Linked DNA regions of Oryzias latipes. The protein of the gene in region 1 purifies or fractionates together with the protein of each later gene. This does not show direct contact. Links are inferred from orthologs where the notes say so. Each region holds a gene or a part of one and is shown on either strand. Other genes may lie near its edges. The genes, in order: fgfr1op2, slmap, stk26 and strn.

The links.
Region 2: the proteins of fgfr1op2 (region 1) and slmap purify together in Homo sapiens (affinity purification with mass spectrometry; 3 studies listed by BioGRID and IntAct, with this or other methods). This does not show direct contact. The link is inferred for Oryzias latipes from reciprocal best matches to the Homo sapiens genes FGFR1OP2 and SLMAP.
Region 3: the proteins of fgfr1op2 (region 1) and stk26 purify together in Homo sapiens (affinity purification with mass spectrometry; 4 studies listed by BioGRID and IntAct, with this or other methods). This does not show direct contact. The link is inferred for Oryzias latipes from reciprocal best matches to the Homo sapiens genes FGFR1OP2 and STK26.
Region 4: the proteins of fgfr1op2 (region 1) and strn purify together in Homo sapiens (affinity purification with mass spectrometry; 4 studies listed by BioGRID and IntAct, with this or other methods). This does not show direct contact. The link is inferred for Oryzias latipes from reciprocal best matches to the Homo sapiens genes FGFR1OP2 and STRN.

Annotation. Positions count from the first base shown.
Region 1 is NC_019881.2:3,908,505-3,916,889, forward strand, and holds the start of fgfr1op2 (FGFR1 oncogene partner 2), read left to right. Parts: upstream 1-3,270; 5' UTR 3,271-3,560; intron 3,561-4,541; 5' UTR 4,542-4,543; coding exon 4,544-4,678; intron 4,679-5,125; coding exon 5,126-5,243; intron 5,244-5,354; coding exon 5,355-5,497; intron 5,498-6,147; coding exon 6,148-6,261; intron 6,262-8,385. Other genes in the region: med21 (mediator of RNA polymerase II transcription subunit 21), read right to left, coding at 2,009-2,123, 3,182-3,223. UniProt on the Homo sapiens protein: May be involved in wound healing pathway.
Region 2 is NC_019863.2:32,506,310-32,514,025, reverse strand, and holds part of slmap (sarcolemmal membrane-associated protein), read left to right. Parts: intron 1-788; coding exon 789-851; intron 852-1,354; coding exon 1,355-1,450; intron 1,451-1,626; coding exon 1,627-1,698; intron 1,699-1,776; coding exon 1,777-1,917; intron 1,918-1,999; coding exon 2,000-2,137; intron 2,138-2,224; coding exon 2,225-2,393; intron 2,394-2,592; coding exon 2,593-2,643; intron 2,644-3,874; coding exon 3,875-3,997; intron 3,998-5,412; coding exon 5,413-5,478; intron 5,479-6,533; coding exon 6,534-6,593; intron 6,594-6,665; coding exon 6,666-6,740; intron 6,741-6,839; coding exon 6,840-6,920; intron 6,921-7,002; coding exon 7,003-7,062; intron 7,063-7,177; coding exon 7,178-7,300; intron 7,301-7,659; coding exon 7,660-7,716. UniProt on the Homo sapiens protein: Associates with the striatin-interacting phosphatase and kinase (STRIPAK) core complex, forming the extended (SIKE1:SLMAP)STRIPAK complex.
Region 3 is NC_019876.2:4,684,808-4,692,561, forward strand, and holds the end of stk26 (serine/threonine-protein kinase 26), read right to left. Parts: intron 7,213-7,754; coding exon 7,027-7,212; intron 6,527-7,026; coding exon 6,384-6,526; intron 6,311-6,383; coding exon 6,214-6,310; intron 6,118-6,213; coding exon 6,055-6,117; intron 4,960-6,054; coding exon 4,823-4,959; intron 4,486-4,822; coding exon 4,470-4,485; 3' UTR 3,104-4,469; downstream 1-3,103. UniProt on the Homo sapiens protein: Serine/threonine-protein kinase that acts as a mediator of cell growth. Modulates apoptosis. In association with STK24 negatively regulates Golgi reorientation in polarized cell migration upon RHO activation.
Region 4 is NC_019873.2:28,013,429-28,021,144, forward strand, and holds part of strn (striatin), read right to left. Parts: intron 6,808-7,716; coding exon 6,675-6,807; intron 6,603-6,674; coding exon 6,449-6,602; intron 5,829-6,448; coding exon 5,718-5,828; intron 3,792-5,717; coding exon 3,648-3,791; intron 3,580-3,647; coding exon 3,446-3,579; intron 1,891-3,445; coding exon 1,715-1,890; intron 1,558-1,714; coding exon 1,510-1,557; intron 1-1,509. UniProt on the Homo sapiens protein: Calmodulin-binding scaffolding protein which is the center of the striatin-interacting phosphatase and kinase (STRIPAK) complexes.

The DNA.
Region 1 (8,385 bases):
TGTCCCCACCAACCAAGGGCTACGTTCACACTGCAGGGTTTAATGCTCAATTACGATTTTTTGAAAAAATCTGTTTTTTTTGCAAGGCCGTTCACATTTCCAATTAAATGCGAACTTTTGTGATCTCCTGTGTGAACATGAAATGACCCAGAAGTGACCCGCATGCGCAGAAGAGTTCTCAACGGTGAACGACGACACGCGTCGTTTGCAGAAGTAGTTAACGCTAACAATGGATGTCAACAACAGTGTTGTCAACAGAGGAGCTCTTTTGGCAGTATTAAATTTATTTTCACAAAGGAGCCAGCACAATTACAATCTTATCATTTTAAGAAGGCACTGTGTGTGTAATAAGAGAGAGGAGAGAGCGCGTAGAGCGCCGGAGGGAGTGTGTGTGTGTGGGGGGGGGGATGGGGGGGGGGGGGGCAGCGGAAGTGTGTCGGGTGCGTGCATTCATGTTGTGTGTTACAGAGGAAGGAGAACGATAATAAAAGAAGGCTTCCCCCAGAATAAATGCTATAATTGACTCTTTATTAACCCGCTCTGGAGAATCTGAGGGTCCGAACGGGGAAGTTAATTCCGGAGGAGGATCTTCCTTCAGCCCTGGAGAAGATCCCCCCCCCCTGCTTCCGACCACAGTCGGAAAGAAAAAAAAGTCAGGTGGGAAAGGTTCAACACCACGCTCGGCCATTTTGCTGGAAATATTTTCAAAAACTGCCCGGTTGCGATAAGAGCCCTGGAGTTTGGCCTGAATGGAGCTGTCACCCCAAATATGAATCCAATCGGTGACCTCGCTTCCCTTCCACTGACTGGTCTCAGCAGCATCGTCCGCCATGGTTGATGTTTATCTTCTGGTTCCGCCTACTTCAACGCAGAATTATGACGTTTGAGAACGTATCAATGAGGTACGGGTCGGATTCATGTGGCCTGGCCGTTCAGACGGAGGTCGCATTTGAAAAGATCGGATACGTATTGGATTCAGGACCACATACCCAAGTGGCCTGGTTCACATTTGAAAAGATGGGATCTGTGTCGTTCAGACTGTCATGAAAAGATCAGATACAGGTCGCATGGGGGAAGAAAATCAGAATTGGGTCGTTTCAGCCTGCAGTATGAACGAAGCCAAAGTTACCTTTTCAGCTAATGCAAAACTGATAAAAACAGCCACTAACTACATGCTTTTTCTGCTAACATAAACATATGCCTATTTAGTTTCACTTAAATAAAAGAAGTATGACAAAAATAAATGAATCTTTATGAAATTTCACCGTTTATTCCTGTCCCTCAGTTTTGTTCAACCCGTAACAGCCTATCAATCCCCCTTTAAAAAAAAATAATAGTTCAGTCCAACTTCTTCAGCAGCCAGGAAGTGACATCACTGAATATTTTCCTGCTCATACTCTGAAGACAGGTAAGTATTAGCCTCCTTTCTTACCCATATTTCATAGTTTCTGTTGTCAGATTGACTTTGTCAAGCTCAACCTTTCAACTCTGTTAAATTAATAAATGATATTTACTATTGTTTGGGAAAAAGCTAACGATTGCTTTGAAATATGTATTAAATTCTTGTTTTCCTCATGCCATATGTAGCTTCATATCCTAGCTAATGTAGACACGTGACAACTTCAACCTCGTAATATTCTACTCCGTAACAAAACACACTGTCACAGTGACAAACTTTCTAACAATTTGGGGGATTTCATGTCTAAAGTGGGAAAACATCTTTTCTCAGAGGTTTAAATAGTCCTTAATCTGATGTAATGTTAAGAAACACACATTTTTTAGGTAAGATTTTCAATTACCAATGTGCACCGAATTCAGAGAATGACCCGTCTAGCCCCTGATATCAATCATGTCCCAATATCCAACGGCATCGAAGGCCCACCCCAACGTAAAATGAGGCTGTACTCCGAAAGTGAAAATTCAGAATTGAAACTGTAAACCGAGGACTGAAGGTGAAGAGCAGGCGGCGACCCAGTGGGTCTTTAGAGACAGTCGGCGTCAGACTAACCTTCAGTGGGGTTGGCCGGCTGGTCCTTGTTGATAGCGGTCTGGATGTTGCTGAAGGACGCAGGGGGAGCAAATTGTTGCAAAACACCGATGGCGTTACAAAACTGATCTGCAAGCTGCCCACGCAAAAGCAGAACACACAGTTCAGACCGAGCTGAAGCCGACCTGCACCACACATCCCGAATAGATTCATTTTATGTTTGAAACACAGACAGAAAGGTCAAAACAATCAAGCTTGGATTATAACAAAGCACAGCAGGAAATTCTACTCATTGGAAATGAATGGATATTATATTAAACATTTCATTTTAAAAACATTTTTGGTATAATTGTCTTCCATTATTCTTTATCTGGCTGTATGCAAATATTTCAAGCATTTTCAGCAAGATTTTGGTTTTATTTAAGACGGTTAAAATCTTTCATAGAGAAAAGAGAATTATGAAGTAGTACACTTCTTGTAAGTTAGAATATTTTTAGGTTTTTGCTCCTTCTTCATGTAATCATATGTATTATGCCCTTCAGGCATTTATTTCGAAATGTCATGAAGATTAAGTGTAGGGGTTGGAGTGCCTGAAGTTCAATATTGTCATATGTTATATACATATGTATATCTTTAGTCCATATGCTAGTAAGAAATGTCATCCGGCTGACCTAAACAATAACAGAACGGTTGGCCTGTACCACCACACATCATGATTCCTATAATATTCCAGCTAAATGAGCAAACAAGCTGCTTAGTGCTTTCAGGAGTTTCCTGATAGAGCTACACTAAAGGATGGCTAGCATGCTAAGAACAAATGGGACTCTAACTTTGTTTGACAGCATATTTTGACCGGCAGGATTAGGATAAGTCTCAAAACGAACAATTTATAGGGTAACTTCCTGGTTTGGGTACCTTTTTAAATAATTTCCACTTCCTTTCATGCGTCTTCAACTTTAATTCCAATCTACTTCAGCATTTTGGCAAACAGCTTCAGCAAACACCAAGTAAGTAATGCTATTTATTAAGTTAGCATTAGCATTGTTAGCTGCTGTGATGTTACGCCCTCAGTAAATAAATTAGGAAACAACTTCCATTAAAACCTATATATAATGCACATTTCATATTTAAATGTATATGTGACAGTCTTTCTATATCACAATTTTTGTCAAATATTTAACATTTTTATTTTACCGAGTTGACAGCATCTTGTAGTTGCGTTAGCCGGTCCGCCATATTTACCTGTATTTGACAAAAGTCCGTCGTCAACTATCGCGAGAGCATTGACAAAATCTCGCAGAAATTGACGTCATTTCGGAAGACAAGATAGCTAAAGAAAGTTAGCCCGTCAACAACCTTAAACCTGTTATTTTAGACTTGAATACCATAGAGACTTTTGCGAAATTCATTTTTTGTACTTTAGTATATTTTTTTATGTCTTAAAGAAACAAAGTTTAAGTTTAACGTATAATCCGATATTCGTGTTAGCATAAGCATGATGTTGCTATTCTGAGCTACAACATAAAATATCAGGAAGAAGATCTATTTTCTGGTTGCACTTTGAACTCTTCAGGTAAGACCACTTCAGTGTTAAATTAAGACACCTTTACATGCTTTGGTACACTGTTTATGAGGTACGTTTGTATGTTTTGTTGGAAAATTTGTCAGGATTTAGAGAGCAGCTTCGTTAGTTGTAACTACTTTACTACTACGTAAGCAAAGACATAATTAGCTGTTTGTTTCTGCTTGCTTAATTTTTTTGTCATAAGAAAGTATATTTCATGATCATAAATCTCCTGCAGTTCGACATCCTCTTTTTTCCCCTTTTAAACTGTGACACATTCGTTAACATCCTGCTTTAGTGGGTGAGCAGGAGGGTCATACCCGGTAAAGTTACATTGTTTGGTGGTGGCAGTGTGATGGTATGGGGCAGCATCTCCTGCTCGTTATTACTGGAGGAAATCTTGATGTAGAAGTTATACATCGAATTCTGCTAAAATAAATATTTAGTGTGTTTTTAAACCTGAATTACCCAAACACGACATTGGCAAAATTAGATGCTTAGCAGCGAATGTTCAACCAGTCATGATGGGTGCATTTCATAAACGGAGCTACGTATTCCCTTAAACTCTAAACAAAGATTTAAGATAAGTATTGTAACTAAAAAGTAATCTGCTTAAAACCAATTTCCCTGCTTTTTGTACTGTTTACATCACTTTCTATCATTTAACTTTCCATCTTAAATCTGTAAGACGCTGAGTATCTTAACGCTAATGTGTAAGTAAATGAAAAATGCAGGGATCTACTACTCTTTACTTCCAGATGTTCATTACTCACCACAGTAATTAGGTTTTTATCTCACTAAAACTGAACAAACAGAAAGCAAAAGAGTAAAACAGTTTTATGAAGGAAATTGCCCAATTTGTTATATTACTTACAGACTTGAACTCGATGTTTTTTTTCTTCTTAAGTTTTCACATTTCTTTAAAACCAGATTGATATTTTCTAAAAAATGTCCTGCTCATCGATTTTACTTTAATGTTTTCCCCTTTAGACATGAACTGTACGTTAGAGAAAGTCCTGGCAGATGCTAAGTCCTTGGTAGAAAGGCTCCGTAACCATGACAACGTAGCCGAGATGTTAATCGAACAGACAACATCTCTCAACAAGAGGGTAGAAGCCATGAAACAGGTAAGATTCTGCTTGGATTTTGATGTTTTATTTTATTTTATTTTAAATATTTTCCTCATGAGCCGACTGACGTCCTGCCCAGGATGAACCGTGCCTCCGTCCAACAGCTGCAGGGATAGGCTCCAGCAACCCTGAGACCCCAAAAGGGATACAAGAAAATGGATGAATAGATTGATTTTCCTCCTGAAAGCAAAGTTAACTGTACTAAAGCTTTTTGACCACTGGGGGGCAGCATCCTTTTTAGAAAAGTGTGATGTAAATTTTCTCTTTTTTGTTTTATTTCTGCTGTGAGAAACTAGAGAGCTTAGTGCCTGATCAAATCATGAGTTAGATTGAAGGAAACATTTATTTTAAAGTCAATATATTAAACTAATATTGAAACAGAAAAACAAAAAAGTATTTCTTTCTCTGTTAAACCAGATGTGAAGTATCATTCTGTGTTTGCAGTACCAGGAGGAGATTGATGGACTAAACCAGGTCGCACGACATCGGCCTCGTTCCAGTCTGGTGTTAGGAATCCAGCAGGAGAACCGTCAGATCCGAGAGCTGCAGCAGGAAAACAAAGGTGGCTGTTTGTCCGTTGGTTTGTCGGGAAGTGTCTGTGGCTCAGAACCTTTTATTTGTTCTTCCACTTTACCTTGATAAAGCACCAAACCAGTGAGTGTTTGTCATGCAGAGCTACGAACATCTTTAGAGGAGCATCAGTCTGCGTTGGAACTCATCATGACCAAATACAGGGAGCAGGTTTTTAGGCTCCTCATGGCCAGCAAGAGGGACGACCCCACCATCGTCACCCAGCTGAAGGAGCAGCACACAACGGTGAGAGGAAGGAGCGCCCTGCTCCTTTGATGAAGCAGGTCAAAGGTTATCAGCAATATGCCCAAAAAAACAAAATCTCCCATTTTTTGGCACCAAATTTGATTCCTTATTTGAACCCAAAAGGACATAAATCCAACAAAAACCGTTTCATTTTAACGTCTCCTTAGGAAGATGGCCTAAATTTAGAAGGGCAACTAAATCCAAGCTGTGAAAATGTTTGTAGATCAGTGCGGCAGGTGTTTTGCCGTTAGCCTGAAGAGAAACATCTTCTCGCACTCGACAGCTTCAGGCGTTGAATGTTGTTAGCAACAGCCTTCAAACTGGTTTTGCACACATGGGGTTTGATGCCTGAAGTCCCAAAACTAAACCAGTTTCATAGACCTGAAGAAACGGTTTCTGTTTTGGGAACAAGCTAGTTAACATTTTAACGAGAAACGGGGGCAAAAGCTGAACTTTACCCCGGACAGCGGAAGCCAAAGTGAGCAGGATGCTGAGAAAATTCAGAATCCAGGTTTATTCCCCCCAAAAAAATCTTTTTAAACCCCAAATTTAAGGTAATACGTTTATTGCCCAGCCCTGATGTCGTGTGTTTGTTTGGATCAAATATTCGAGCTTTTTGAGTTTTCCTCATTTCTTCTCTGTGTTTGTAGGAAATGCAGGCACACATAGACAAGATCAACGAGATGGCCTCTGTGATGCGGAAGGCGATAGAGGTGGACGAGGAGCGCGTTTGTGAGGACGAAGAGAGGATTAAACAATTAGAGGTAACCTGAAGGCTTGTATATAAATGCATTTATTCGTTACCTTGACAGCAGGTTGGGTTAGGTAGTAACAGGTTATTTTTATCCATTTGGACTTTTATAAAGTGAGTTCTTTACTTTTTCTGAGTGGTTTCTTACTCAGGAACATTGGGCTACTTTTGTCAATGAGTTTGGAAATCTGGTGAGTGGACTCATGGGTAAATTCACCTACCTTTGTTGTGTCCAACTCCCTCACTACCACATAGTGCATTTGCTATATTTTTCTACAGTTCCAATATCCAGTGCCTTGAAATTTCCCAGAAGTCTCTGTAAAAAAATCTAGTGTACTGATGCGTACTAGTTTGGAGAATTCAGACCACAATGCATTGCATTTGAATTATTTGTCATTTGAAAAAAAAAAAATTTTGAATTTCTTTTAATAAATCCTTCAAGCTCATCTTCAGAACACAGTGGATTCATGAATAGTTCTCATCAAATGTTCACATTTATTAGGTTTTTATGGCGGCAAACGGGTTACCGTTTAAAAAATGCTGGTCAATATGGCCGCCGGACTTTCAATGTCACTTCAGCAGTTCCGAATCCAAAGGGTGGCGTCAGAGTTTATCCGTCCCGTCTTCATATGTCTCTAATAGCAAAGCCTAAAGAAGTTTATATGTGTCCAAAACATTTGCATTAAGTCTTTAGAAACTGCATTGAAGCAACCTTTGAACACAGAAAAAGGGTTTTAGTGTTTTTTCCAGCATGTTGCAGAGGGATGCTGCCAACAGGAGACAGCAGAAGTCCAAACCAACAACATTTCTGGTTCTGGTTCTGGTTCTGGGTTTGTGTCGGTGGATGAAATCTGCTCTCTGTAACTGGAAACCGTAGCTGGTGTTTCCCCTTAAAGCCTGAGCAATTGAATAATGTAGAGAATTAAGAGGAGAATATCTACTATTATTTTTTTAATATTCTTAATCTTTGTTTAGCTAGGATGTTCTCATTTACATGAAAATCTTTTTAGCAAAGAAGTTCTGGTCAAGTCTGTTTAAATCATTAGCACAATGGAAACATGATAAAAAAATAGTGCTGTCATACAATTTAATTATTTTGTGGAATTAATCAATTCTGACCTGTAGTTCAAAAATCCTCATTTTGAGGTATTTTCATTGAAAGTTGTGACATTGTGGCGCAGTAAGACATCAAAATCCAACCCAAAAACTGGCTTTCTGAACTTTTCTTCTATAGTAACTGACATTTTCTGTTGTTTTTTTTTTTAATAACCTTTCCTCTACAGCAGCTGAGCAAAGCAAACGATTTCAGACTTTCAGTTCTTACTTTAACACCACTGAGGGGGATTCTGGAGGGCTCTCATCAAAAACATAAATAAAAACAGTAGGAAGACTTTCCTGAGCAATCCCAAAAATAATGAACACAAACCTTTTAGATATACCACCATACATGTGTTGATAGACCTTATTCAGCAGTTTATCCCAACACATAGACAGTAGAAAATACATGAGCAGGGCTCCAGACTAACTTTTTTCACTAGGAGCACAGTGGCCCCAACTGAAAATTTTAGGGGCAAAACCAGAAAATTTAGGGGCGCATACCGTAAATCAACATGCTAACCAATTCTACTAATTTCCACTGTATTACTAATAAATACTTTAATAATAGATGCAGAGATTACAATGTGCTGTTTCTAATTCAGTGTCACATTTTAATCTGCACTTTTGAAGATGCAACAAGAAGGTAAACTGACAAAAGCATCGCTGTCATGACAGTACAAATACTAAACAAAACAGATGGAAATTTATCTTGGTGACACCAAATAAGTGCAGCCAAGATGCGCAATAAGCGTGTTTGAGATCACCCAGGTGGACAAAACGCTGCACAGATCACCTGGTGGGAGACAGATATTTTTGTTTTTGCTCCAACATCAACTGTCAATCATCAAAAAAATATCACGAGAAAGGGGTGGGAGCAAGGGGCAAACCTACCCGGACACAGCTGGAAATTTAGCACTGCACTGACTGAAAGCTGCCCTACAGACTACAAAACAATGCATTATGGGACATGTGTCCTGATGGTTTTTGTAGTTCAGTGATCAATTAAAATAATTTAAAATACCAATTGATTAAAAAAAGG
Region 2 (7,716 bases), on another chromosome or scaffold:
GACTCCAGCGTCTTTCTGCTGTGTTTAGATTTGAGCCGCTCTTCTAATATCATTAACGGTCCTGAGTGAGATCATGCGGCGGCGGCGGCACGCTCCACCTACCATCCACTTACTGATGGTTGATGCTGCACAAACCTGTAGAGGAAAGCAGACTGATGTCATTCGGAACCGAGTCCAGCATGTTTGGTCGATGAACGAAGGTCGGCCGTGGTAGGGCGGTCAACCCATGATCGTAATATTGCAGGTTCGATTCCCGCCTTGCACGCCCATGTGTCGAAGTGTCCTTGGGCAAGACACTGAACCCCACCTTGCCTCTGGTGGGAGGTTGGCGCCAGTGTTCGGCAGCGGAGCCGCCATCAGTGTGTGAATGTGACTGTAAAGCGCTTTGGGCCTTTGAAAGAGGGTAGAAAGCGCTAAACAAGTATACGCCATTTACCATTTAATGAATCAAAAGTTTGATCATGAAGCGACGTTCACCCACTTCCCACGGCAACACGCCGTTTACTAACCGGTATTCACATACTTTCCTCTAAATGCGGAGATTATTACCAATCGTTTTTATCAAAGTCGCCTCATTTCAAGTGATGCAAAGAGTAATAACGTGTTGGTCTGTTTGTGTTTCTGGATCAGTTTGGTTACATTTAAAGCTTTTAGAAGTTGAACTGTTCAAATGATTGATTTCCTCTTTTGTGGCTGTTCTCCTAAATATTCGTTCCTGCTCTTTCTTTTTAAACACTCCTTTGATGCTCTGTGGTGTGTTTTTTTTTTTTTTTTTTTTTTTTTTGCAGGTTTCGGCCAACACTCCCAGCATGTACTCTCAGGAACTCTTCCAACTCTCCCAGTATCTACAGGTAAAGCACTGCCCCCTGCTGGCCAAGCTTGGGAACTACAACTGAAACGATAAATAGATGTTCTTTGATCAACTCCTTTCACTTTAAATCTTCCTTTCGAGTCAACTTTGTGTAATAAATCATCATTTTGGCAAAATATTATATTCACACGATAAAGCGGTTAGAAAAAGTCCTCATATTAGATTATTTTAAAGAAGCAGACTTAAAAACCTACTTTGTCTGGATTGAAAAATTCAAATTGAGTAACCAGAAATGATCAGAAACGGTTAGACTATTCACAGCAAACAAACTTTAGTTTAAATGCTTTGAACCAGAAATGTGTGTTCTACTGATAATACAGCAGATTTCTACACGCGGTTCAATCTTTATGATGTTCAAGTTGAAATATTGATTCAGAAACTCCAGAGGTTTGAACCCTCAGAGGAAATTCCTAAACTCTGACTCTCTTTAAAAAAACGCCGTGGATGATGAATGAATGCAGTTCCCGTGTCTGGTTTCTGCAGGAGGCCTTACACCGAGAGCAGATGCTGGAGCAGAAGTTAGCCACGCTGCAGCGTCTGTTAGCCAACACCCAGGAGGCCTCCGAGAGCAGCTGGCAGGTAGGAGACCTCGTCTTCTGTTGTCCTGAACATTTGTAGACCTGCGCTGAGGGGTTCACTGCAGATGTTAGCAGGAGATAACGGTGGCCATGGGGCTTATACTCATGGAGAAACTGAAGCTTTGGATAGAATTTGAAGATCTGAATTATGACTAACGTGACTCTGGTCTCCTTCAGGCTCTGATAGATGAGGACCGTCTGCTTTCCAGACTGGAGGTGATGGGGAGTCAGCTACAGGCCTACTCCAAGGTAAAGTCACCTTCTCAGGTTCTCCTCTGTAAAAAGGTGAGGCACAGAAGTTCTCATTCATGTCTGGAACTCCTGCAGTCCCAGACGGAGGAGGGGATGCGGAAAGAGCTTTTGGCTCTTCAGGAGGACAAACACAACTATGAGACGACGGCCAAGGAGTCTCTGAGGAGAGTCCTGCAGGAGAAGATCGAGGTGGTCAGGAAGCTCTCCGAAGTGGAGGTGGGACCCTTTGAGGAGTTGTTTGTCCCTTCAGGCTGATGGATTCAGTACCGGTGAACCCAACGCGTGATCTCCTCTGCAGCGCTCGCTCAGCAACACGGAAGATGAGTGCACCCACCTGAAGGAGATGTCTGAGAGGGGTCAGGAGGAGCTGAGGGAGCTCGCCAATAAGTACAACGCCGCTGTCAACGAAATAAAAGAGCTCACCGACAAAATCAAGGTGAGGCCTTGTGCGTTTACTCTGAAAGGTTCGATTCCCGCCCCTCTACATTTGTGCAGTAACACCCGATCGTCTTCTTTCCTTTAGGTGGCGGAGGGCCGGCAGGAGGAGCTGACCCAACGAGGAGAGACGGAGAAGAGGGAGCTGGAAATGAAGATAGAGGAGATGGAGGAGAAGGAGCAGGTTCTCCAGGCTCGCATCGAAGCTCTGCAGGCAGACAACGACTTCACCAACGAGAGACTTGCTGCTCTTCAGGGTACGTCTGGGTCACGTCTAAACGCCGTTTGCTCCCTGAAGCCTTCCACTGCTGCTTCATTGCATATAAACGGAGGACCGAGCCGACGCCTTTGTTCGGTTCCACCTCAGCTGTCGGTTCCTCGCAGAAGGCCGACTGGAGCTGCTGCAGGTCCAGCTGAACGTTCTCTTTCTGCTGTTGTTGTTGTTGTTGTTTACAGCGCGGTTAGAGCAGCTGCAGGAGAAAAGCGGTAAAGAAAACAACAGTCTGGGTGAGTCCACGTCCCGCTGGTCCGCTCTGGGACTGCTGTGTCTGTGGGGTTAATCAGCCTGAGCTGCACTAACGATGCATGAAACGTCCTGCATGGTCTGTCTGTGCACTTCCTGCTGTCGCTCTTTTCTCCTCGTTGAGTTTTTTTTATGATCTTTCAGTGGTTGACTCATTCACACAACATTGTATTGTTGTCCATAAACGCAAAAAGATTTTTTTCCATTTTAATTACCTAATTAACTTGTAGTTTAAGGCGGAAATGTCACACAATGTGAATCCAGCTGAGGGAAAGTTTATCTATTTCCTCCTGAATGACCTGCATCAGAAATACCTGCACTAGAGCTGCTGCTGACGGTGAAGCGACCCAACAGTTTCCACTCTATATTATCTAATTTAGATGTTTTATGTACTTAGTTTAATTCATTTAATCGTTGGTCTATTAGCGTTACACTTAAACCTCCTGTTGTGACAAACTGATGTTTGTTTCTGTCTCAATTACAAAGGCAGTAACTGAACCATTGTATTTTATAAAATGCTGACGTCACCTTAAATATGACAAACTGGAATAGATTCAAAGTGTAACAATTGTTTGTTTTTCCTTTCAAAATGGGTCAATTTACCCAAAGCATAAGAGATTTTATAGTTTTCTCTTTAACTTTGTTCTTCTGGCTCTGGGTGTTGTGACAGAAGTCTTAAAGCAATAAAGTCCATAAAAACATCAAAAATCCTTTAATTTTACATTTAAAAGAGTAAAAATGTCCTCTGTGCTCCAGAAAAACGGACGTAAACACAGAAAATGATCACTCCTGAGGTGGATTTCATTCCTTCATGAGTTCCTGCTTCGTGTTCCTGTCTGTTAGAATGACTGTGGGTTCTCTGTGGAACGCCCAGTCGCATCGCTATGCGCTATGCTAGGATGCTAGGATGCTAGCTGCAGGTCCTGGTTCTGACCTGGACCCGTCTGGTTTCATAAGGAGCTGGTGTGTTTTTCTGGGCTTTGTTCTGGCGGTTCTGTCAGGTGAATTTTGGGCTTCTTGGTTAATTCAGAGCTTTTCCAAACCGATCACTGCTTTGGTTCCTTTTTCCGGGGGGAGGAGCTTGAGGACACTGATTTCTGCACTAAAGGAGTCCTGAAGGTCTCGCTCTTCTTCATCAACGGGCTTCACAGTCTGTCTTCTGCATGTCTGGCTGATGAAGGTTCCATGTGTATATCTGATCTGGTCACATGACAGAGGTGGCCCTCGTCCCTCCCGGAGCTGCAGGGGAGCCCGTGGAAGACCTAGCGGACGAAGACCACGATGAGCCGGATACAGACACCGAGGAGGGGGCAGTTCACGAAGATGAAGATGTTATTGGTAGTCTATCTCAACTGTTTCCTTAATTTCTTCTTCCCAAAGACAGACGATCAAATGTTTGTTCGATGCAGAGCTGAAACCTCAGAACGCGTCTGGCCTGAGACCAGGTCTTCCTCGATCAGGACATGTGCAAGAACTGAAATGCTGGATCCAGATCCATCTGGGAGCCACTTTTCTGGTCCGTCTGAGGAGCACGTCTCCAGATAACTGGTCTGCAGCGCTGTGGCCTGCTTCACGCATCAGTGTCCCACGTTCTGAGCTGTCTCTGGTGAAATGAGACGTAAACGCAGCGTCTCGACTGGAAACTCTGTGTGTGTGTGGCTGAACCTGCTTTCAGCCGCCTCACACACTCGCGATGCGGTCTGCGCCGCTGCAGCCGCTGCAGTCTCCTCACATGCGTCCTGGAGGAGAGTTCACTGATGTTTCTTCAGGTTCAAACCAATGTTGGAAAGGGAGAGCGGGTTTGTAGATGTTTCTCTACACCATGAACCGACCTCTGACCCGAGAAGGTTTGGTGTCTTCTCTCCGCCGCTGTCGAGTCTCATCCGTCTGTTGTTGATCTTTAGATCAGCTTGAATGAAACCTCGTAATTGTCCTTCGTCCGATGCTGGTTTAAAACTTTGTGCTGCGGCATCTTTGAAGGTTTGGTCCAAAATCTTTACAAATGTGGATCGCTCGTTTTCTGAGCATCATCTGCTGCAGTTTGTTGTTCGGTCAGTTTCCATCTCAAGGTTTAGGAGAACACCAACGGCTCCTTCAGCTCCTGGGTTTTTCCATTTCAGCTTTCACATCAATCTAGTCCTGCTTTGGAATGAAGTCCATGTTGGGTCTCAGTTTCTTCTCGGGTTAGGAGCTTTACTCTCTCACAGTTGTCATTTCTAACCCGTTTTATTGTGCCGTCTGCAACATCATCTTCCCGTCAGCATCTTCCGTTCACTCATTGGGTGCAGCAGCTCTGAGATCTGGTGCAGTTTGAGTTTCCTTCGGCTCTGATGTTGTTCCGTCTCCATCTTGCTGCTGTTTCTCACCTGCTGATGCTTGGTGGGGTGTTGCATAGCAGCGTGTTTGACTCCATCCTTCACCTGTCCTGTTGTTCTGGTCTGTGACACGTCTGCCTGCTTCCTCTGTGTCCGTCTCAGGCCTTCCCTGCCGTCTTCTTACCGGACGTTAAGTTAGGAGCAAACGCAGCTTTTTGATTCTGCTGATCCAAATCAAGGAAACCTGGTTTGTCTGCTTGATTTATGGACGTCCAGCTTTAAGCTTCACCACATTGGAAGGAACCAGAGGAGGAAATAAGACTAAACGATAATAAACTGTTTGAGCTGAACTTTGTTCAAACTCAGGCTGGTGTCGATGAGCAGAATCAAAAACGTCAAAGGCAGAGTCGTAACGCCAGTTCTCTGTGTTTCTGTCAGACAACTGTCATGTCAACAACAGCGGAGGAGAATCCACTAGAATCCAACAGTTGATTGAGTGTCAGCGTGAGTACAACCTGCTGTTCCTGAATGCATCTCTGTCTGACGCCGTCTTTCGCCGGCGGTCAGAAGATGACCGTAACTGTGGGGGGGGAAAGGTCGAGTTTGTTCTTCAAAGATCTGACATCTTTTCCAGGATTCGCATTCTGTTTTTTTAATGGTCAGTTTCGAGCCTCAGTCATAGTCGGGCTGCAGCAAGGAGCGTGCACGTAAACGCACTAACGGCCTCCTCCAGCTGCTCCAGTCTGGATCCTGGGGGGTGAAGAAAATGAAAGCTGTGTCTAAGGCTTTAGTCGGATCCTTAGACTGACCAACCTGAGTTCTGCATGGAGCTGAGGCTCCGTCTGAACCGCCTCGTCATTCTTTCAGGGTCTGACCATAAAAAAAACCCATTCTGGTCTTTATTTCCCTCTTTTTTTCTTCTAAACTTGTCCTGTCCAACAGCTGAGGAAGCAGATCAGAGCTGAAGGCCTCGTGTGTTGGACAGATTTTACTGTTACATCAGGGGTTTATGGGTCTTCAGACAAATGGAGTATATTTGTATAAACCCCTTTTGTAATTGAGGCTAAGCTTTATTTATGATAATTATATTTATGTGTATTCCTTGTTGGACCAGACAGAGGAAAAAGGTAGAGAAGGAAATGGAGCAGGATTTTAGAGATGGGGGGGGACAAGGGGTTAGAATGGGGAAGAGGGGGGTGGGGTAGGTGCAGTCAATAATGCAAAGTCAAAACATTAGGGTCATAAGTAAATTGCATGACTTAGTTTTCTTTGTTTCCCTCCTTTGAGCTCCTTCTGAGGCTGAATCCGATTTTTCCTTCAGCTGATCTGAAACCAGGACTGTTTCTGGATCAGATGTCGATGATGGACACTCCAGAGCGTCTGGCCTTGACCTCTAACCTCTGACTTTATCAGACTCGCAGCGATGCATGTCTGCTGTGTGTTTTTCTGCTCTTTTCGGCAAATGTTGATCCATTACAGTAAAAACTGTTTTTTGAATCTTTACAAACTGTTGGACTTTTAATCCACCTTTTGCTGTTGTTCCTCTTGTTTCCCTGCAGCTGTCAGGCAGCTGAAGGACACGGTCAGTTCTTCAATCCACAAACTGGCCAACTTTGACGGTAAGAACGGAATCTGAAGATTTGACTGTGCTGGTGTCCCTGAGGAGAACTGAAACACCTGGATGTTTGTAGAAGTCATGGACGCCCACCTTCAGAACAACCAGACTGCAGGAGGCGACACACTGAGCAGCCCTGACCGACTCAAAGGTAGGGGGGGCGCTCACCGCCATCAGCTCCCCCTCAGAGGAGGACGGCCTTGTGTTTGATGCAGGTCGTGACTCCGCGCTCATCTGTCCGTCTCCACAGGGAACCAGGTAGATGCCAAGGAGTCCGACATGTCGGACACGCTGAGTCCCAGCAAAGACCGCAGCAGCGACGACACGTCAGGTCAGCGTCTCCGTTAACGTTCTGACCTTCAGCTCCTACAGGAAATCCAGACCACAACAGTATTTCTGACCTCCTGTTTCAGACGGAAACATGGACGACCAGGAACTGAACGAGCCGCGGAACACAGGAGCTCTGCTCAAAGGTAACCATGGCAACTGCTCACCGCCTCTCCGGTTCAGCACAGTGCTGCTGCTGCTGCTGTTGGCTCCATCCTTCAGGGAGGTGAGGATTTGCTGAAAGCTGTTGCTCTGCTGCAGACTCGAGTCCAGCCGGTTTGGAGTCTGCAGACACGGAGCAGGTCATCCACCACCTCCACAGGGAGCTCCTACAGGCCCAGGAGCTCGCCAACACCGGGAAGCAGAAATGTCAGGAGCTACAAGGTAAAAGAGGAGCAGCCGTCCAACCCCCCCTCCCCTCTGCAGCACACGTGCACTTAGCTATAGGATTGTAAAGGAGTTAGAGGAAGGTTGGTTGTTGGTTCAAAACTTCTCGGGTCAGCAGAGGAAATGCAAAGCAGTTTTTCTGAGGACGTTGGCTCCTAAATCTTCACACACACAGACGCACCGCTATGCTTTTCACACTAGAAACCTTTTTGTTTCTGACCAATCGCACGCCAGCGTCTAGTTCTGCTGGGAACCTTCTGTTGGAAGAGGACGAGAGCTTTCAGGCAGAAATCACTCTGTGCCGTGGAGCAGAATGACACACGTGTTTGGGCTGAGATGGGATGTTCTGCTTGCAGCTCTGCTGGAGGAGGAGAGGAGGAGTACGTCAAAGCTGACGGAGGAGTCGACCAAAC
Region 3 (7,754 bases), on another chromosome or scaffold:
ACCCTTAAAGAAAGAAAAGAACAAAATAAAAGTCCCACTATCTGCCACACACCTGCGAAATTTGTTGTCAGCATTTGATCCATCCAGGCACAGCCGCGCTCAGGAACCATTTGGTGGCTCAAACCCTCCCCCCGAATCCAACCCCTTAATGCTGAGTGTCAAGCAGGGCGGCATTGGGTCCCATTTTTAAGGTCTTTGGTATGACTCTGCCTGGATTTGAACCCACGACCTTCCAGTTACAGGGCGGACACTAACCACGAGGCTGAAACTGTCTGTCACAACCCTTTGGGCATAAACGCATCACCATGGGTTGCTTACATTCATTCTGTCAGTATTAGAAAGAATGGGTCAACCACATCTGAGAAACATGTTGATCAATTTTCTGCTTTTCTGTTGAACAAAGCCTGACCGGCTTTTCAGCGTAAAAACTTCATCGGCTGAGGACCTGCAGGAGTTGGACAGACTGAAAACAACATTCAGGCATCTGTTGGGTAAAACGCCTCACAAAGACCCAAACCCAGCCGGCACACCGGCTTCTGTCTCCATAAAGAATGACCTAATCATGACCTTTCCACCACCGTGCTTCAGTTAAAAATAAAGCATTTTTGCCAGAAAAGGGATCAGTGTTTGTTTTACCAAAGATGCTTTTTTTTCACAAGTCTTACTGAAGTATTTCACGTAACAGAATGTAGAAATCTAATAATAATAATAAACTTTATTTTTATAGCATGCATTTAGTCTAACCAGCAGACCCTGGTCACATGACCTCAGGGACCTGCTGGGAGTGTACGGCTGCAAAAGGTCTTGTAACCCTTGTGCTATTCTAGGCACTTTACCATTGGGAGTTGGGTCATCTAGACCCACTAGACAGTCCTCTGAACCTTTTTTCTTCAATGATTTGTGATCTTCACTGGTTTTTCATGGATTACATGAAATCTTTCCACCTTTATCCACCTTTGTCATGGTAGGGAGAACACGTCAATGTAAGGGGGGGTCATCTAAGACAGCACAAGGGTTAAGGTGGACCGGTGCTTGGCTATTGAGAGCTGTGTATGTTGAAACCAGAATTTTAAAATGCACTTGATGGCTGATAGGGAGCCAGTGCAGCTGGATTAACAACGGGGTGACGTGTGAAAACTTGGATGATTTAGTTAAAAGCCTAGCAGCAGCGTTCTGGACAACCTGGAGCCGTTCTAAAGATTCTTTGCTCAAGTATGTGAAGATGGAGAAGCAATAATCAAGACGAGATGAAATAAAAGCGTGGATGAGCAGCTCCAACTCAGAACGTGACACAATTGGACTCAGTTTTGCAATGTTTTTAAGATGATAAAAACAAAAACGTACAAGTGAGTCAAGGGATAAAACCTGGTCTAGAGTTACCCAGAGGTTCCTGACAAACGGCTTGATAAAGGAAGCAAGTGGACTGAACCACTGGACTATCTGGAGGAGGCAACTGTCAGGAACACAGACTAGGACCTCTGTTTTAGCTTCATTTAGTTGGAGAAAATTATCATTCATCAAACTTTTGGCTGAATCCAGACATCTGCGTAAAATCTGTATTTTAAAAACATCCTGCGGTTTAAAAAGACACAGAGCTGAATATCATCAGCATAAAAATGATAAGAAACATCGTTAAAAGAACTTAAAATGCGCTGCAAAGGCAATAGATATAAAATGAACAATAAAGGTCCCAAAACTGAGCCTTGAGGGACACCAGAAGTGAGGGATGTAGAAGAGGACTGAAACTTTGAAAAAACAACAGAAAAAGATCTACCAGTCAGAAAAGAGGAGAACAATTTTAATGAGGAACCAGATAGCCCAACCCAATTTTTTAGCCTGTCCAGGAGGACATAGTGGTCGACAGCGTCAAAGGCTGCGGTCAAGTCCAGTAGCAGTAGCACAGCATTTTCCTGCATCACTCTGTGTCAGGATGTCATTAGTGACTTTGAGAAGGGCTGTTTCAGTGGAGAGAGCTCTGCAAAAACCTGACTGAAACTGATCTAAAATGCCATGACTGTGGAAAGCAGTTGTAAGATGGTTAGCAACAACCTTTTCTGAAATTTTGGACATGAATGGGAGATTAGAAATAGGTCTGTAACTGCTCAAGAGGGAGGAGTCAAGCCCGGGTTTTTTAAGGAGACGAAGGACGACAGCTTTCTTAAAGTGCTCAGGGACTTGACCAGACAGCAAGGACGAGTTAATTATTGACAGGACAGAAGGACCGATGGACTGGAAGACATCTTTGAGCAGAGATGTTGGCAGCACGTCCAGAGAGCAACAGGATGAATTCATTGTGCCAACTAATCTGACTAGCTCAGGCAGAGAAACGGGTGAGAACGTGTCTAAAATCACAGGGCGAGGTGGACTAGGACCAGAACCAGCTGAGTGACACAGAGAGCTTCTCACAGATCTGACTTTGTCAATAAAAGATAATAAAAACGTATCACAATCATCATTTGAATGGATGGGGACAGCAGGTAGATTGGGCATCACGACATCACTAATAGTGTTGAATAGCACTTTAAGATTACCTCTGCTTTTAGAAATGAGAATAGTGAAGTAAGCAGCCCTCACATCTCTAACCGCACTGTTAAAAGAAACTAAAAGATCCTGAAGATGAAGTAAATGAACAGGTAAATGAGTTCTTTTCCACACACGTTCCATTTTTCTGCAAGATCGTCGTCGTTCATCCAAGGGGAAACCTTAGCGACGGGGCCAGTCTGGTTTTAAAGGGACAGACTTCATCTAAAATAGAAAGACAGTAACTATTAAAAGTACGTCACAAAGAATTAACATCTGTGCAAGGAGAGAGGACCAGATTAAAAGCGCTAGAAAAGGCCTCAGCCGAGGAGGAGTTAAGCTAACTTCTCTGTGTGCCAGCAAGAGCGACACAGAAAAAGACAAGTTAAAAAAAAATACTATGATGATCAGAAATAAAAATGTAAAAAGTTTTGCTTTAGTTAAAGATGTTCAAATAGAAATAAAGAGTAAAATGTGAAGTTGAGATTTCTTGTTGCATTGGCCCAAAACAGTAAGAATAATACTGATCAAATATTAGTTTATAAAAAACCTATTTAAGTAAATAAACAACAAACACCAAAAGTTTCACAATCATACATAAATATTTATTCATAAAACTCTAAGTCCCGCTACAAAAAGTATGTTACTGTAAAATCGTACATCTTTCATTTCACGAACTCCCCTTTTCTAGCCGCTCTCGTATCCCTTATAACACATTAAAAAAACAAAAATATACATTGACCAAGTCTTATAGTGTCTTTGGTACAAACTGTCAGCACTGCGTTGACGTACAGCTCCCAACTTCATCCTGAAAGCAGCTTTTGCTACAATTCAGTATGAAGTTTCAAATCAAAGCGTTTTGTTGAAATTCGGCGTTTGGACATTTGACAGCCAACAGCAGAAGTTCCCACGGTTAATGGATTCCAAAATAAAAATAAAACCCTGAAGGCTTTCCGTAGTCTGCAGGTCCATTAAATCACGATAAAAACAAAAACTTGAACATGCACCCAGAAAACGTCGGAAACTTTGTGAAAACTCGATTGAAAGACCCAAAAGAAAAACCGAACAATTGATCAACATCTTTACGTTGTCTGCGTAGTCATTTCTAATTTTGCCAATTACTGCAGAAGCTCAAAGGGGTTTCTAGCGAACATGTTGGTTCGCAAGTGGGCAACGCATGGACTAGTCTGGTTAAGCTAGCCGACTCAAAGCTGAATCAAGAGTTTCCCCGCTAGCCTGTTGGTTAGCAAGCTAGTAATGCATAGACTAGACTGGTTAAGCTAACCGACGCAAAGGTTTCCTAGCTAGCATGTTGTTTAGCAACCAAGTAATGCATAGCCTAGTCTGGTAAAGCTAGTTGAGTCAAAACTGACTCAAAGTTTGGTCTGGATTCACTTTGGGAACATTTTGAAACAGGTTCACCAATTCCTCACCTGTTTTAGCTATCTGCTACGCTAATCTTTAGCCAACACTGAGGAATCTCCTCTGTCACATGTCAAAGTCGAACCCTGTGTTGGCCTTTCAAGGGCCATCCTGACCTGGAAGTAAAAAGTAAAAACAAAAACGACACAAATATGAGATAGAAAGCATTTCAAGTGCTGCTGAACAGACAGACGGACTCCGGGCGAGTCATGACACCAAACTAAAGGCTACAGCTGCTGCAGCAGAAAGAAACCTTTCCGCAAAAATGGATGAACAGAAGATGGAGAAGTTAAGGCACGTCATGTTATTAAGACAACATTATTTTTGGACTGATTTGGATTCAACAGAAAGGTTCCCTCCTCCAGCAGCGAGGAGGAAATAGTGTACATATGACTTTCTTAGTGTGTGCTGAATATTTAAGTCTGAGTGTTGAGAGGGTTCAATGCACAGCAAATCTCCTCTGTTTTCCAGCGGGGCGACGGTATGAAGACAGTCTCTTCCTAATTTCTTTTCCTCTCAACTGGTCTTCAGTTTGTTGTGAATCTGAAGAAAAAGGACACATTTCCAATAAACAACGGTCAAAAGGAAATTTTCTAAAATTTTGACGACTGTTCGGATACAAAAAAAACAAAAAATCCCATTTTAAAAAGCTACAGTGGGGGTTGTACTCTACAATTCCAACCAATGAGAGGAAACTATGGCTGGTGGATGGGGGAGGGGCTTAAAGAGACGGGACCACACATTAAAAGTTAGAGACCAAAGATGAAAAAAATGTTCTTAACAGGCAAGAAAACTCACAAATAACTTGTGAATTTGTTTGTCTGTGAGCTAAAAAGAAGAACAAACAGCGTCTTTCAGTACTGAGTGACGATGGTCATACTTCTGGCACCGGGCGATGATGTGCGTCACCATCTTGTCTGTGATGCCCGGACAGATGTCTTCGGCCAGCTGAATGTTGTGCTCCAGCTGCTCGATGGCCAGTCGTTGCGTCGAATGCTCCTTGTGTTGCTGCTTCAACTACAAGAGGATAAGAAAAAAAAGTCAATCGATTCCTCAGACTATAGCTAGCAGATACATAGCACGGTCAGATAGCTTAAGGCTAGCTAGCTTAACCCTTTAACACCAGAAGATATCAGTGGCAATGCCTAAATAGAACAAGCGCTTTGACAGTTGACGCGTTCAACGTAACTCTAGCGGCTTTGTGCTAAAGAAATAGCAACGTTTACGTTGATTGCGTAAACACTGTATTGCTGTAAAGTGTTGCACATCAGCGTAGAGCTGATTTTTCCTACTTCACAAACTGTTGGAATTACGTTACCTGTGTAAATGGTTGAAGAGTAACATTGTTGAAAAAAATGTTGTTAATTGTTGTGTTAAAAGGGTTAAGGCCAGCCATCTCAAGGCAAGCTAGCTCTAAAGCAGCTAGTTTAATGCCAGTTAGCCTAAGCACAGCTAGCTCTAGGCTAGCTAGCTAAAGGCTAGTTAGCTAAAGGCCAAAAAAGGTTACATCTGATGGGCCTTTAGATTCATGTTGGGTTTTCCAAAATAAACTACATTTTTGTTTTTTTACCAATTGATGGTAATCTGATTTTTGTAAATTGATGACAGTAAATGTGTTGTTTTGAATAACAAGTTATTGATGTGATCTGATAAAATTCAATTCAAAACAATAAAAAGAAAATAAAGTATTTATATTCTACCTTTGGTTGCAGGTTTAAATACAAAGAAAAAGGAAAGGTAAAATGCCAAACTCGATTTATTCTTTCAAATTTTGCCTCAACTATGAATTACATTCATCAGATTAAAGTCTGTTTAACATATTTTGTGTTAATAATAACAGAATACAAAATTAAAGAACAGAAGAAAAAAAGTCGAACAGTGAAAGTGAGTGCACTGAAAAAAATAATAATTCCAGCCACTATAAATTATTATGATTTATTCAGAGCAAAATATTCAAACAGTATTTTTTCAGGACTGCACTATCAAAAAATTAGAGAAAAAGTAAAAGTTAAATAAAAAAAATAAAATGTGATCAAGTGTTTTAAATAATTAGAACTGAATTTGGTTAAAAGACCATTTGTCTTTCAACTAAACTCTTATTTTGACGCTCACCTCAGTGAAGACCGGGGAGATGACCGTGCTCAGGCTGGCAGATTTACTCAGCTGCTCTGGAGTCTGAAGATAAAGAACATTTCTGCTTCAACCCGAATGCCCTAAAACCATCGGAGGATCAGGATGAAGGTTCCCGAGGAACCAGATACTGCGACTAACCGTCCCGTTGAGGACCATCCTGCCTTCTGTCTTCTTCTTCCGGACGGTGGTGAAGGACCACTCAGGATGCATGTCGTTTTCTTTGTTGCTGGACTCACTGCTCACACAAACAAACAGTTGTAGGCGCTGAACCGACATGCAGCAGCAGCAGAAGAAAGCCCTGAAGTCACCTGTCTGAGTCGTCGGAGCTGCTGCCGCTGTGACCTTCCTCCTTCCACCTCCTGTACCTGTCGATCAGCTCGCTCAGGTAAGACGTCTTTTTACAGTGCTTGGTGATGAACTTGTGCTTCAGCAGCTCTTTGGCGGTCGGCCGCTGCAGGACCGTAGAGTGAAGCCAAAGGAGGGGAATTAAAAAAAAAAAAAAAAAGAGGAAATGAGATTTTTTCAAAGTAAGAGGCAAAAAAATATAAAATGATTAAATGTTTGGCCTCAGGTTTATTGATCAAATTAAGGAGATTTAATAATTTCTTCCACTAGGTGGCAGCAAAACACAACAAAACTTTCATGGAGCGGCCTTACGTTTACAGGAGTGCAAAGTAACTAAAAATAAAGTTTCAAAATGTTCCATTTGGTACCAAAGCTCCACATGAAACAAAACTATTTCTGTTTTTTCTTTAATAATAAATGATTAAGTTGTTCTTATAGTTACTTTAAAAACTTCAAAACACCTAAAAATCTTTTTTATCACAACAAAAAGCTGGATATGACTTTAGAAGACGTACAGATATAAATTTGTATCAAGACAAAAGCACGATTTGACCTCCTTAGGATGGAAAAATCATCTATTTGATTGAAAGTAACTTGGATGCGTACAAAGGCCGGGTCTTTGTTGAGGCACGCCTCGGTGAACTCTTTGAAGCTCTTGGAGAAGTCTCCGCTCAGCGTGGGAGGAGGAGACTTGGGGATGTGGAAGAGGACGCGCATGGGATGCATGTCTGAGTTTGGCGGTTCCCCTTTGGCGAGCTCGATGGCCGTGATGCCCAAAGACCAAATGTCTGCCTGTAGAGACACACAGGAGCAGAAAACATCATCATCAGTTTGAAAACCGACCATTCGCTGACGATGCGACTTTAAATGTGTGTTGATCAGACATGAGTCTGTCAGTCAGTCAGATTATATTGGATCAGATTTTTAAAAATGGCAAGACCTGTATGGATTTTAAACATTTTTAACTAGCTATTTATACGCCAAAATGTAGTTCAGTGTCCGACTTTTCCACTTACACCCCCAATCAAGAGATGGCAGCTCAGCACACCAAGACTCTTTCAGCAGCTCAGCACCAGAACCATCTCATGCTAGCATGCTAGCCTAGCGAACATATCGGGTTGTCGGAATTGAATTTTTTGTTTTTAAACTTTACTAAAAAGTTTGGGAGATAGCGTAGTCACAATTATGTTTTAGCGGTATCCATCGTTTTTTATGCATTGCAAACAAGGTTAGGAGTTACAGATATTGTGAACCTGCTAACTCTATGCTATGCTTTTTTAAAAGTGTTTTTATACAAGGTTTGGGGTTAGCGTGGTCACAGTTTGTTTCGGCCT
Region 4 (7,716 bases), on another chromosome or scaffold:
GGTGCAGCTGTGTTTGTTCGGGAGAAGAACATAGTGATAGGCAGTTGTTGTCGCTCTTTTTCTATGGGTTTTAGAGAAACTCCAAATTGCAAGAGAATTTGAACGTACGTGTTGTAAATTTGGCAAGCTGTTTTACATACGTGTACATATTAAACTGAAACGTTATTGACGCACAGGTAGAGAAAAAGTGGAGTGACTTTTTAGCCAATCAGAATGCAGAACACAATGCAACGATGCAAATCCGTGAAGTAGCGAAACCGTGAAAAGTAAACCGTGTTATAGCAAGGGATCACTGTATGTGTCGGGAAATACAACAACAATCTAGAAGTGTTTTGAAGAAATCCATATTAATCTGACACAGTTCACATACTGTGGATATTTTTAGTGAACATATAAACCAGAGAGATCGTTAACAGCATACGGTGTTATAAGGAGAAGCTCTAACAAAAATTAATAACAGATTATTGTCTTTCCCAGAGGGCGTCTCAGTTTGGCCACTAGGTGGAGCTCATGCTGCAGAATTCCACTTGATTCTAGAAGATTGAGCCAAAAAATGTTCTTTAGACCAAAAATGGTTACTTTGAAAGAAAAAAAGTGTCCTTAAATTCCTGCCTGTGAGTTTATAAAGCTGTTTAGTCAGCAATGTGTGTTTAGGTCAAACAAGCGTTAGCATTAGCCGTCCTATGGGAATTTCCATTATACGTTAGCATCAAGCTAGCTTACTTTGGCTTTACTCCTGTTATGCTGTTAGGTCACTGGAGAAAGAAAGGCATAAAAGATCGATCTCTTCTTTTATGGATCGATTGTTGATCTGCTTCTAAGCTTGGATCAATTCAGACCGAGTTATTGTTTTTTTGTTGTTTTTTCAAAGCAGCCCAGGCCTTTTGTCTCCATACAAATAAGAAAAATATCATACATTTCAGGAGGAGAACGATCAGATTCTCCTTCCCGTCGGTTTGGACTCCACCCAGTGACCCCATCATCAACACGCCACAGGCCCAAGCTGAGCAACAACCAGCTGCTAGCTCTCTCAATGCGTCTGCACAATGACCATTCACTGTATAAGAGAACCGGACTGAGTGGCTCCGCCCCCCCTGACATTCCAAACAGGAAGTACCCGCTGGATCCAAGTAGCCAACGACGTCTATAGGGAAACAAACACCTGTTCCTCAGTCATTCTGGCTCTGATACCTTTTTTTTTTTTAAACGTGATGATGACAATCCTCATTTTTTGTAACCGCAGCTCCGCCCTGTTTGGCTGCAGTTCCTGCTCATCTTACAGCAGATGTTCTAGTCTTTTTGTTTCTCAAACCGCCGTTTTCCACGTTCACACTTTGTACAGTTAATTGATTCTATAATCTAAATACAGCTTAGATAGTTGACCTTTTGGGGGGGGGGGGGGGGGGGGGGGTCTGGAATGACTTAGATGATCTCAAATGTAGTTAATCTGTTGTTTGCTGTTTTTTCTTTGTTACATTCAGAACTTGGATACTAAAATGAGCTTTTTACCTGTGTGCCCTGAAGGTGTAGACGGGTTCCACGTCCAGAGATGTGCTCCTGCAGACAGAGCATTCATTACTATGACAGAAAACAGCAGCACTCACGTGGGCAGAGCTTTCCACGCACGAAGGTGGAAAACACAGATTTTTAAACCAAAGCTCGGCAAACGAAAGCAGAGATGCTCCTTTCAGTCGTTCAAGCAGGAACACATTACTTCTTGGCGGGAGCCGTCTTCTGCAGGTTCCACATCTTGAGCGTGTGGTCCTCCGAAGCCGTGACGAGGACGGGTTCCACGGGGTGGAACGTCAGCGCCCGGATCCCGTCGAAATGACTCCGCAGGGTGAACTTGGGGTTCCACGTCTTCCTCATCGCGTCCTTATTGTTGCCAATCTGAGAAACAAAGCGGAGACGCTCAGCATCCAGGTCAGACAACAAACAGATTTTTCCTTCCACTCTGTGTTTTCAAATGTTTATAACTAAAAAAACAAAAACGAAAAGCAAGAGGACTCTGACACCGTCACCAACAGAAAATGAGAGTTTAACCGCTGTTAATGTATTTTATATTTGCACTTCATGAAGCTGCAGAACAAAAATAAAATCAATTACACAAACAAAACTACTTGTGCGGGTTCATCTAGACCAGTGTTTCAACCTTTTTTGAGCCACGGCACACTTTATCCTTGACAAAAACCTAGCGGCATCCAAAAAAAAAAAGAAAAAAGAAAAAAAAAAGGAAAAACTCAGTCTGTATTGATTTACAGCCCCTCCATGATCTCACATGCATTTTTGTGACAATTGTGGCAGAAAAAGCTGGAAGCTGCAGCTGTTTTTTCTAAAAGATGTAATAAAAGTTAATTTAGAAGATTTAAAAACAGTTTTATATGTGTTCGTTGTGGTTTCAAGACGTTTAACAAAGAAAGGCTCATTGTGCGCTGAGACACTGTCACTTTAACTCAATGCATCATGGGAGATGTAGTGCAAACAGCCGCCAAACGCCAGACAGACTAGCGTCTCTGAGCTTCATGGTTTTGTTCACTTGTTCCACAGTCTGATACCGTCATTCTTATCAAAATGCCTTTAATAGAATCAAATAAACAGAAATAAACATATTCCTAACTACTCAGTGTTTTATCAGGGCCTCAACTCAAAACCTTCGGATCACTTCATCTATGAAATCAGTTCATTTGGGGGGGGTTTAGAGTTATTTTACACCATTCAAATTTGAGAATTTTAACTTATTTTAACTTTATTTATTCATTCCCTTTTTTATTTTGACACCGGCATATACACCATCCTTTCAAAATAAAACACATCCTGTGTGCCAAATAGGATCCTTTTGCTGCAGCAGTTTTGGTTTAAACAAAGGCAAGAGAGTTTGGCGAATCACTGTCATCCTTTTTCTCCTCTTACTATCAAATATAAATGTGATGAGATCAGTGTAGAATACAGCTTTTTTTAATTTATTTTTTAGAGAATCTTTAAGAACTTCTCTAGACTCTGTTGTGCAGCAGAAGAAAAGAACATGTTGAATCTTAAACCACTCTGACAGCAGACTGAACTTTTTACCATCACTTCTCTCAGTGATGTCATAAATGTGTACATAAATGATAAAACAAAGTTAGCAAAAACAAACAAACTAAAACTATAATTTTTTATATTGCCAGGATAGAGTAATAAAGGAGCTGCTTGTGGCTCCAGAGCCTCAGGTTACAGATCTAGAACATTTTAGATCTGTAACAATTTATCTAATAGTGTCAGGGATGAAATTATTTTGAAAAACAATTTAAAATATTATGTGATGAATAAAGAAGAAAAGGTCCAGGTGGACTGTTACTTTCATAGGGGTAAAATGGCTGAAGAGATGCTATTTTCCGTTGTCTGGTTGACCCGCTAAACGCAGACTTGTGAACGATTCGGGCCGGAAAAACCGGAACAGTTCACTCACATCGTATGCCAGACTCTCGACCTCGTTGGCCACGGTGATGCTGGCCAGCTCCCCGAGTCCCAGGTCGCTCTTCATAGCTTCGTCTGCGCCCATAATAAACGTCCCTGAGGTGGGCGGGAAAGCAAGGGTCTCCACTGCGGAGAGGAAACCTGATTATAACCAAAGTTCAAACAGAAAGGGGGCGGCGGTCTTTCTGAGGCACCTTCATCCGGCCGGTTTCCCTCGTGTTCGTTAAAGCGGGGCACGCTGGGTCGGGGCTGCGGGGCGGACGGAGGCTGCATGTGAGGCATGTCCTCGCCGTCCCTCAGGTTGGCCAGCATGTCCTGCAGCTTGGATCGGTTGGGTCCTGTTCACAGGTGGGGTTACACCGGTTAACAGAACCAACACATACTGATGGAGAACGGAGACGAGAGAAAAAGAGTGCAAACAAGCTGAGAGAAAAAAAGATGAAAAGATGGAAGGACTGGGAAGAAAGAAAAATAGATAAAGTTTGAAGAAAAGCAGTGAAACCTACTCAAAAGGTACATTTGCCTTTAAAGCCGCTGGTGTGGAGAATCACTGTAGTCTAAACCTGAATCTGTACGTTTTAACTGCCATCCTTTCAGAAGTGCGTGAGACAAAAACTACGATCCGCTCAGTCTGTCCTTTTGACACACTTTCCTCCGGCTCAGAGCTGTTGCTAAGCAACCAGCAGAGACCTAGGAAAGTTTCCTTGTGATGCTCAACAAACAAAGGTGCAATTGGCAACACAAAACTGTAAATTCCAGCTTATTTTTTTTTTAAATCTAACAACAGTTTTAGCAATAAATAACAGCAGTTAACGGCTGGTATGAACACGGCGCAGAAATGGATTATGAGGAGCTGCAACAGACAAAAATCGCAGGAACAGAAACTCTACATGGTGTCGTCCGAACACCCACAAAAAAAAAAACCACACACTCTTGGGGGGGGGGGGCTGTGTAAACAGCGTAGAAGGAAGGTGAGAAAGTGAGTGTTGATGTCACGAGCAGTCGCTGCAGAAGGAGAGCGGAGACTGGGTGTCAGAAATGTGAAATCTGTGGGCTGCTGAATGAGTCATCCATGCGGGTCACAGGAAAAGCTCTGATTTTGCTATCGAGCGGCAGAACATCAGCGGCTACACGACTTCTCCACGCGAGCCGAGCCGACCGATGAGGACCACGGCGGCAATCACAGAGCTACTGTGGCACGGCGGTCTGATCTTTCACGGTTAGCACGATGACGTGAAGATGAGAATAAGGCGATGAAAGACTGAAATGAGGCATGCACCAGGGTCAACCAAAGGGCAAAAGAAATCCTGAGCACAGATGCAGGTTTTGAAGGCACCGGAGAGGTCTGAAGAATGAGATGTGAAGAGGACAGAGAAGCAGAACGAGGAGCGGCGACAGAAGAAACTCAGAGAAAACAGTGAAGATGCTCCAATTTGGATTTGAGGCTGGTTTCTCAGGAAAGTAAAGCCTTAGTCACACTGGGGGGCTTGACCTGTACGGGTGCTGTGAGGCTTTCGGCTTTCGGGTTTCAGAGTGTTCCCAGTGCTCTTTTGATCAGGATTTTACCGTTTTTAGCCAAAATGAAAAAAGAAAAGAAACCCGTGTCGATATTTAGGACAGAGTTTCAGAGTTGTGGGCGGGAAAGTTGGCGTGGAGCAACCCAAACGAATGCATCTATAGACCCTTCGCCTGAGAATGGAGCAGAGCAGGGAGCTTGTGGCCCGGCGAGCAAATTTTCCGTCAAAAATCTTTTCCAAACAGCTTTTTTTTTCCACAACGATTTGATTAAAGAAATACTCAGAAATGCAAAGTTTTTGTAGAATTTTCTTTATCTTGCAGCTTCCTTGAGGCTCGTACAAGGACCTCAAGGGGCATCATTAAAACGGGACGTACCATTGTCGTGTGTATGTGTGGCAATAATGTAAGTTACACACACTTACAACCTACAGGTGATGCTGTCCTACAGTGTCGTCACGGCACATTCAAGGTGCCAGTACAGTCTCCTTACTAATTGTGCATAAGTGCTGCACACACTGGGTGATACAGAAGTGTTCATGGGATGTCCACACAAACTACACTCTGTCCATTTTCCTCCTGTCTAACGGCCAGACTGCAGCAGGTATTGACGGGTGCCACCCGTACAGGTTTGACCATTTTTCGCCCGCAGGAAGCCCGTCTCCACCCGCAGGTTCAGTTGTGACTAAGGCTTTAGGCTCTGCAGAATGAGAAGAAGCAGGGAGGCAGCAATACCTAGCAGGACTTACTCTTAACCCCCTTTTTCCCCTTGCGATCCTTTTTGTACTGTTCCTTGAGCTGGGTTATCAGGCCCGGGGCCACGTCCCAGGCCTCAGAAATGGAGCCTTGCTCGTTCTTCTCTACACAAGGGGACAAAACCAGACCGACAGGCTGTTGAGAAACTGCCCTGGTCCTTGCAGACAGAGAGCTGCAAACGCTCTGAGACTTTCAGATTCAAATCAATTTCATAAACGAGGAGGGCGGAGCTACGGGCCTCTCCTGACCCTCCTCTGTGTTTTCTTTCTGCTGGCAGAAAGAAGGAGGTGGATTTGAGAGAGGTTTGTGTCATGGTGGGGAATGTCTGACTTCAGCTTTTGAGATAAAATTGTCTTTTGTGGCTAAAGTCAAAGATTAAACCCAGCATGACATCAAGCTGATTGTTTTGACTCCAGCTAAAGACCAGCGAAGCTCAGAGGGGATCTGGGCGATCTGACGACAGACGAGTGGAAACATGTTGGTGTCACAGGCTGGACTTGTGAACATACAGTGGAAGAGAACACAAACTGCGTGTTAAACAGACACATCATGACTTATGAGCACAGAATGACACATGAATGACGGAACCTCACCAGCAGTCAACAAACTATGAGTCAAAACTTCCCAAATTTAAAAGATCAGCGGCCGGAGTTGGAATGAATCCTTTTCTCGCTGAAGGGGTTTGGATTTATCAGTTTGTGTTCGTGGTCAGTCTGTGACTCACCCCAGTCCGTCCCATCGCCGGTGCCTCTGGACTCAGAAGTGTCAATCTCATCGGGTCTGGACAGGAAGTCGAAGACCTTCAGCACGGCGTTGGTGTCGGGGTCCTCACTGGTGTCCATGTTGGTCGATGAGGGAGGAGGCTTTTTCCTCATGATCTAGAGGCAACACAGCCTGTTCTCTAACAGCACTCCCACTGCGTGATGCAAAGATGAAAGTGGCTTCCTCACCGTCCTGGATTCTACGTTGGTAACTCCCTTTCCCTCGCTGTCCTCTTCCTCATCTTCATCGCTCAAATCCTCTGCATTCTCAATAAAATTGAAGACTTCCAGCACGGCGCTGGGGTCAGACAGCTCAGATTTCCTGCAAAGGAGCCACAGATCGTTTCATTTAAACCACCATCATAGACTCGCCATATCGAGCTTTAGATAGATGCTAGTTTTTATTTTTTCTGACGAGGATTCCCAATTTGAAGAACAAAAATATCACTGGGAGGTTCAGCAAATGGCCATTAGAAACTTTTTAAAAACATTTCAACCAGCAGAAAATACAAAAAAGAAAAGCTGTCTTGATTGAACTACGATAAGTTTGTACATTTTTAACCATCTTTTCACGAAAAATGTTGAATCCTGTTGCATAAAAAACACGTGACTGCAGGTATTGGAAACAACGGAGAGCTTCCTTAAACTGAATTACACCTCTGAAACATTAAAGAACGTCCCCTAAATGCAACACTGTATAATCATTTATTGTTGTCATTGGAAACGATGAAAATCGCAATGATGCGTGATACAATGACCGCCGCATGGCGTGGAGTCTCTCTCTGTTTGATGGTTTTTGTTTGTTATTTGTAGAAGAAAAGACTGCTGCAGCCGCTTTAGCCGTTAATAACGTGTTAATCCAGTGTCAGTAAGTGGCGCTGTAACTCCTGACAAAATAAACAGAAGAAGAAGAAAACATTTGTAGTCCTTTGCAGAATTCGAGCTTTAACATTTCTTTTTCATTAATATAAACATTTTAAGAGGCTATTATTGTTTTTTAAATCTGGAGACCGTAAAAGGCTTTAGCAGAAGTAGACGCATTTTCACAGTTTAGATCCAGATTCCAGCTCAGATGAGTCTGCAGGTGGATGATCAGAAATGGGCGGAGCAGGAAGCTTGTGGCCCCGCCCAGTGTATTTTCTACGATCAGCTTCTGCTGCACGACAATTTGGTTAAAGAAATATTTAGAAACGCAATTTTAAGCTAAATTTTCTTTAACTATGCCCTCCGT